Linked DNA regions of Drosophila melanogaster. The protein of the gene in region 2 interacts with the protein of the main gene of each other region in a pairwise test. Each region holds a gene or a part of one and is shown on either strand. Other genes may lie near its edges.

Region 1 (3,412 bases), on a different chromosome or scaffold from region 2:
CTTCCGCTCCCCTTTTGATTATGCACATGCATTTCGGCTCGTACATCAAACTCGAACTCGAATAAATGTGACGGCCTGCATGCATTCAAAGTTAAAGGAAATACGAAAAGGGAGAGGGACGTCCAAAAAGCAACAGCCAGGGGAATATGCTGATGGATGCCGGGTATAACTGATTTGTGTGTACTCGTATATATCTGAATTGGTAATTTGCTATAAGCGACTTTAATATGGCACGCAGTTGTACGCCATCTCCGCATCCCCTCTTCGAGACACTTTGCATACTCATCCAGAGTCGGGCAAATGTTTTCGATTTACATGGCTAAGTAGCAACGGTCCAGGTTTTCAAAACCAAAATATATAACACAAAAACTATTTTCGAGCGGCGAGTAAACCAAATGCGCATAACAATCTTATGCAACCAGACTCCATAGTAGCCATGTGTGCATTTAATCCTTCCCCTAGGAGATTGTTATAAATATTTTATTGAATGAAAGATCAATGCTATCTAATTAAATAAATTTAAAAATCATAGTTCGGTTTATTTCTAGTCTGAATTTTACGCACGGTAGAAAAGTTACTTTAACTGGATCGGTTTGGAATATTTAGGTCAACGGAACAAGATACTGAGCGCTGGGATTAGGATTCAAACAGCACTATGGAATTAAGCCCTACTGCCCCCGCAGTTTGGCTTCCGTGGATTTCCTTCGAACTTCTTCAGCTCACGAATCAGGTCACAGGAGCTTGGAACATCTAGGCAGTTGCATTCAACGCCCCGAGGCTTGCGAAGACGAGAGCGGCTGCACTCGGAGAAGGAAGGATAGGGGGCCTTGACTTTGACGCAGTCGGTCTTACGTCTAACGACGTGGCAAGAGACGCTGTCTACGGCCTTACAGCCGGGCATCTTGATTCTAGGGCAGGGTCCTCCCTCCGTGGGGCATTCGACATTCGTGGGACACTCGGCGGATGTCACGAACTTCTTGCGCTTGCGCCTTGGGATCGGCGGACGAATTCCCGCCTCGTAGCAGCAGATCTTCTTGGGCTTTATCTTTATGGGCGGACACTCCACCCAGGTGACCTGGTACTTGCGCGTGGCCTTGTCAGAGATCTTGTAGTAGCATTGGTCGTACGGGGGGAACCGTTCCGCGCAGGGATCGGTGCAGCACTCCGGCGGCTGCTTCACCAGATGATGGAACTGGAAGCCGTCCTCCTTCTTCGGCGGTGGTTTCTTCGCGAACCGGGGGTCTCCACAAGCGGTAAAATTACCGCAACCCTTTCCAGAACTGTCACTGCACTTTGGAGATGGATTGTGGTCCTTTGCGAAAGCGCGATGGCAGACCACGCTCGCAAAGCTGGGTATTACTCGATTTTGGGTTTTCGTTCCAATACTGCGCCACATAGACATGGCTGGATACGGGCTGATATAAATTTCTCGGGGGGGAAAGAAAGGTATCGCTAAATACAACAATCCCGAAACAAAAATGAAAATCCCTCGGCACCGAAAAATGACCAAACTACAAATTTGTAACCGAATACACAATCAGCTCAACGGAGCCGATGTGAATTTTGGAAGAGGCCGAGAGGAACTGGCATACAAAGTTATTCGACATGGCTACATCGCATCGAAGTAAATTTCAAGGCATCCTTTTCAGAATATTATTATATAGAAAGAGGAAATACTCTGTTAGCGCAGAGTACTCCATATTTATACATAAAAGAAAAAAAACCCTACAGTCGTTTTCTCCGTAAATCACATACCACTTATTCTGCTAGTACGAAAATTGTGACGAAATAGATTTACAATTGGTCAAAAATAAACTGAAATCCAAATAAAAACAAGAGCCATTACTCAGCAACATGGGTCAACTTCCGCTGCGTCAATGTCTCTAGAATCTGTATGCTAAACCTTATAGCTTTTATAGTTCCTGAGATCGAGACGTTCATATGGACAGACGGACATGGCCAGACCGACTCGGCTATTGAGTCTGATTAAAGTATATATATTACTTTATGGGGCCGGAAACGCTTCCATCTGATTGTTACATACATTTTTAAACGAATCTAGTATACCCATTTACTCTAAATATAATAATATAATATAAAATAAAATAAAAAGTATAATAAAATTTTCTTCAGCACTTAGGTCGCGAAAAGTATTTGGAGACAGGTTCTGCGGCAAATTCTACCAAAACCATTTTGTGCTGCGCTAACGTCTTTAGAGTCTGGTTGGTCAATCCAACCTGCATACCTTTTTAAGTGCCCGACATGGCCTGATTGGGAATGAACATGTATATAGAGTCGGAAATGCATCCTTCTGCCATTTACTTACGTTTCATCGTATTTAGTATACTCTACTAGTAGCGGGTACGATAATACCATTCCCACAAGTTTGCAAAACTTCATAGATTTTACTATAAATTCTCTAAGATATTTAAAATATGTATATCTTAAGTTATATACTCGTTTCCCTGAAAAGCAAATTGAGATGAGGAAGAGGAACCCTCACAAAAGTGGGGAAAAAAAAGGCACTGCAACTGGTACAACAGGTGTAGCTTAGATATATCTAGAGGTCTTTTAGAATTTGTATTCCAAATTTCCTATAAAGTATGCTGTGAATGCCCACTCCGAGCTGAGGATGTCGGGTTTTAGTTAGTCTACACTCAGTCCTTGGCCTAACATAACATATTTTCGACTATTTTCGGCTTTGTAAAACAAAATTTGGTAAAAAGGTTCAATATGTTGCGAATGTTGCGTCAGAAATGTCGTTCCCTCGTAGATCGGAGCATGCCGTGCCTGGAGTCTTTGGTAAATGCCTGTTCTCTATTCAAGGTCGATTGGTCCAAGAATCTGAGCCAAATCAAAACCCCGGCCGACTGCGTTGGCTCCAGTGTGCTCCGGCAGCACCTGTTACGCCGCAACTACAGCAGTCAGTCTTCCGCCGATGATTGCGGGCGGCCAAAGGATTGCGATCAGGTATCGACCTCCAAGGGCTGTGGTCCTGCTCGGTTCAAGGGCACCATTTGCGATGCAGTCAAGGGCGGTAAGCGCAAGAAGAAGGAAGAGCCCAAGAAGGAAAAGTCCAACAAGCCGAAGCTGCCAGCAAAGATGAGGTCCATGTGGTATATACCCGACTGCGAGTACGTGCCAAAGTGCGATGTGCCAGTGCGGTACGACATCCAGCACTACCGCATATCGGACAAAGAGGCCCGCCAGTACCAGGTGACGTGGAACGAGTGCCCCCGGTTGGTGATCAAGCCCAAGAAGGTGTGCATCCACGCAAAGCGACCGCGTCCGAAGCCCTGCCGCCGTCAGCGGAAGACGGTGGTGGCCACAGCCCGTCCCACGATGCCCATGCTTAATCCCATGGAGTGCAAGAAGGCAGAGGACTCCTCACCCTGTCCGCGCTGGACTCTTC
Region 2 (4,795 bases):
CAAAAAACAGCACCGAGCACATTAAGTTTGAAATAAGAACAACACTATAGAACTCAAAACCGTACACATAAAAAATCGATGTTTTAATACAATAATAATAATAACACAAAAAAGAAGTGCTCAGTAAAATATTATTCATGTCTTTATGTAATTAAGAAATTTTTACTTAAAAGAGCAGATAGATCTTATAAGATTTCAAAATTTTCCTCCTTATGCTTGAATTTAATCATAATATCAGATTTAAAACCGATCATATTGTGTTTCTGTGTAGCGATCGGAAAACTGAGAACAGAGAATGGAGCACTGAGAACTGGGGAATCGTAGAACCGGAGAACCGGAGCTCCCAGCACGATGAGATGAAAAATTCTAGAGAGAGGCGGGCGTTTTTTGTAATAGACGATGTCTACGCTGATGACCTCAGTTAAAAATAAATAATGCCTTACATTGTTTGGAATTAGTGGCTGTTTCGTTACTCCAGTCCGTAGATGAGATCTGCATCGAGATTCGAGATTCTGGCCTTAAGTTCAGGGTGGCGCTCAGCGATCGGTGATCATGAAGATGCTCTGGTGAGGGGTTGGCGACAATAAGACAAAACATGGGGCGCCCAAACAAATCATTTTGTCAACTCAGCTTGTACCCGGCAGCTGGAGCAGAGACATAGAGACATGCATACATATTTGTGTAAATTCTTGTACGACATTTATCACACACGAAATTGATGAACCTGCCCCGCCTGATAAATGTTTGCGAGCTGCCGAACAAGGGGAAAGCGATTTTACTAAATCAGGGAAAATCTGGGCAGAGATTTGCTTCTAAGCTGCTGGATTGGGTGTAACATGGTTTTGTTTAATTAAAAATCAGAAGCGAGTTTTTTACGGAAGATGTTTTAGGATGGGAGATGTCTTGTTTATTTTGTTTATGTTTTGAATTTCATATCTAAATAAATGAAATAATATTAAAAATCCTAACTGCATGTAACTTATAAACATTGAATTATCAATTTTTTTGGGTCTTTCCCAACCAGAAGATGAAGAACGCCAGGCCAGTCGAAATATTGTTTCAGTTTTATTTACCTGAAATTTGCTATTTTATCAAGCACCCAGCACAAGTGTTTCGCTGTGAACTTATTTACATACTTATCGGTACGTATGTGGAGTATAAACAACAAAGGCAGAAACAACGAAAAACGAGTTTCTATATATAAGGTGGCTATGCTGTAAAATAATAAAGGGCGGGCCGTATCAAGAGTTGTTGTTATGGTAGACAAAACGGGTCGCCAGTTTCAGTTTCTCGGGGGTTAAAACGATCGACATACTCCGATGACGCATTTTAGAACCGGAAATGCTACGCCTGCCATTTGGCTGAGTTCTCAATAAGTATGCAAATCGGATTCGGATTGTTTGTGCACTTTTCGGTGATTATTCCCATGAATTAAAAACAAACGCTGGAGGGAAAAAGCAGCACTCGACCAGAGTGTAAACAAACTACAATACATAGCGATTATGATTTATGAATCAAAATAAAGCGCTGACAATTCAAACAGCAGCGGAAATGGTAAAGAAAGCCGATCAGAACTCGTATAAGGCCAATAAAAACGATCGCAGATAACTCGAACGCGTCGCGTAGATTATGCCAGCGACTAACTAACTGTAAACATATACTATTTAGGTTATCACTATCTTTTTCAGTTCGCAGCTGACAAGATAAAGTTGTACCACAAAGTCAAAGACTAGAAAACCGAGAAACTCAGGTAAATTTTGGGGAGTGAAAGTAAGTGGCAAACCCGGCGACAATCACAAGATGTATCTAAAACTCTGACGTTTCGTTCTAGGAAGCCCCGAAGCCACCCATAAACAAGCGACGTCTGGATTTCTCGAGATCTGCAGATCTTTATGGACCTGCAGATAAGCTGGATGGATTGTTTATCCTACCCCGAAGATAAGCGACATGGGGTCCCGAAGCTCTATTTACCTTTTTAGATGCGTTTGCGGTTGCTGCTCGCGAAGAGAGTATCTGTAGCTTTGGGTTTTCTTTATTTCTTTGATTTCACAACACCATCGGAGATTCTATAAACACCAAATAGAATTTTACTTTCGTATATTGCTTCACAGAACTTTTCTTTTCGTATAAATCAGATGTGTAATTTCTCTTTTATTTTCGTTGTTTCGTTTATTTTTTTATTTTTCTGAATCACTTGTATTTATTTCTCGTTTTCAACAACAACATTTCGTCATGTTTTTTTCTATGGGGCGTACAAAAAATGTAGTAAACGTAATCGAAAACAAAAGCACGCGTTCTCTTACTCGAAAGAGAGAAAGAGACGGGCGGTGAGGCAGAGAAAGAGACAGGGATAGAGATAGAAAGGGGGAAACAGAAACACACGCACACTACAAATAAACAAAAACGGAACCGAACCGCAAAGAAAACCGATTTTTATGCACTATTTAATTTTATATATTTTTCTGCACGCAGTTTTTATTTTTACTTTTCTGGTTTCGAAAGATGTTTATTTTTTATTATGGGAAGTGTTAAAACCGTGCGAAATTCAAGCCCAACAAACGATGCGTTTGTTTTCTTTGGCACTGCAATTTCCGCGCTACATTTTCGTATTTTCTATTTGCTTTTCGAAAAACAAGAGATTTCTTTATTGTTTAATGGAGAGTGCCTTTTTAATCGCGGTTGTGTGAGTGTGCCTCTGTTTATCGCGTTCGTTATTTGTTGTTGACTCCGAAAAATTCGTTCACACCCGCGCTCATTCATAAAACGTATCCAAAACACACGATGTCACGCACTCACAGTTTTTTAGCTTATGTTTCTGAAAATGATTATTAACACTTGATGCAGTATTTTGCAATATATTTACATCTCTTGACCCGCACGTTTTTTCGGATCCTAAATTCAATGTTCACCTTTTTCGTAAAAACCTGAGAACTGCCAATAAACAACGGTTTTTTGGATTCAGTATGTTTTTAAAAAATTTGAATAACAGAGGAGCGCTTTAAATTTGCCCGACTTTTCCCGGTCGAGGTGGAAACCCAACTGTTGTATCCAACAAACTCGTGGTTGGATCACCCTGCTTACCCGCTTTGTTTTCAATGGAAATGTTAAGATACAGCGTTTTAGCGGTTAACAGACGCTATTTCTATGGGAACTCAAAACGTTCGCTTGCTGTTCACATGGAGTTAACATGCGCGAGACCCGCGATTACCGGTTAACAGAGCGAGCTAACAGCAAGAATTATGAAGAGAGCAACATGTTGCGCTCAAACTGCGCCAACAGCTCAATTCGAGCCGATCGGAGCGATCTCAAACGACCTCAAGCATGTTGCAGTTCGAGAGGAAATCCCCTAGAATTGTTTATTGAAAGTAAAAACAGTTGGAAAAACTCCAAGCATATGGATGTATTTGTAGCTCTTACACACCCATTCGAATGTGTTTGTAAATTTACACTAACAAGCGGTGATAAAATCCCATGTTAGTCTTCTCTATGGCTTATTTAGTGTGTTTGGGTTTCTGATTTTATGACCCGGGCCTCATCTTTGTGCAGCCTCTTTCAGGCTTTATCGACTGGCATCTCCCTTAGTTCTTATCAGTGGGGCATTGTCTTATCTGCAGATTTATGGCCCAACGCTCATTTAATAGCCCGATTCCTGGAAGTCGACTTAACACTTTCGTTGTCTCAATTTGATTAGCGCCTGCATTGGCTTAACACTTTTTCACCCATAAAATTGTGTGAACCAAAACGAAAGCGAGACAAACTAACTGTATATAATGATAATGAAAAACTCACAAGTGAGCTGTGGACTATTTAATCACTTTACTTTTGTAACCTACTAAAACAAAACTAATGTTCCTAGTCAGAAGAACAAATTATATATTACTAATCATAATATAATCATGATTTAAAGCAACTTACGTTTCAAGTGCAATAAAATACTCAATAACCGGTTAGCAGAGTTCTACGATTTGTGTAAATGAATAATTATCTAATTAGATAGCTAAACTTTTAATTTAAAATCCTTCAAGTCTGTAATTTAGTTAAAAATACAGATATGACCACAGTTTGAAAACCATAAAGTTAATGGCATAATGAGCCTTTTGAATACCATTAATAATTTGTAGGAGTATAAGATAAGAGGAAAAAAATCATATAAACACCTCTAACTGGCAGTTAATTAGTTGCAGCTAATTGGTGGTGCTTAGTTAATAAATATTAAAACCGAAGACGTTTGTAAGGTCCAAGAATAAAGCACGTGAAATTATAAATCATTCTTATGGAGGAGAACGAACTCTTGTTCCGACCAAATTGTTGAATGAACCAAGACAGCTAACAACAATTCGTCAGGATTAGCCGTGTCAACTCTTTCCTGTTTTTGTGCCATCTCCTTATTTTTCCATTCTATTGGCTTTTCTCTTGCGTTTTCTCTTCTCGTTCCCTCCGCATTTCATAACGTTTTGAGGTGTGTTCGCCGGTCGGTCTCATCCTTATCGAAGGTGCGCATCAACGTCGCAGAGAGATATACCCATTTACCCATAACCATTCCCGACCCGATCTACGTGCTCGGGTTCTCTTGCCGGCTTTGAAATCGAAACTGCCCATTGTGTTGAAATCTAAGCGAGCGTGTGAGGAGCTCCCCAATCTCCGAATGAATCCCAGTCCCTTCATGAACTCCAGATTCCAATTCAGAAACTCCATGCCGTGTGATGTGCTGCATGCTTGATCGATAGCGTCTGGCCCCCTTGATTTCCAACGAAAGGTAAACACATCAAAAGCAAAAATATTGAGAAACAAAAAG

Evidence for each region.
Region 1: the proteins of cv-c (region 2) and CG8701 interact in a two-hybrid assay, tested with the Drosophila melanogaster proteins (one large-scale study listed by BioGRID).

The regions. Positions count from the first base shown.
Region 1 is NT_033778.4:8,369,242-8,372,653, reverse strand, and holds CG8701 (uncharacterized protein), read right to left. Parts: upstream 1,582-3,412; 5' UTR 1,403-1,581; coding exon 662-1,402; 3' UTR 512-661; downstream 1-511. Other genes in the region: CG2127 (uncharacterized protein), read left to right, coding at 2,734-3,412.
Region 2 is NT_033777.3:14,478,671-14,483,465, forward strand, and holds the start of cv-c (crossveinless c), read right to left. Parts: upstream 3,044-4,795; 5' UTR 2,910-3,043; exon of another isoform or gene 2,243-2,909; 5' UTR 1,972-2,242; intron 1-1,971.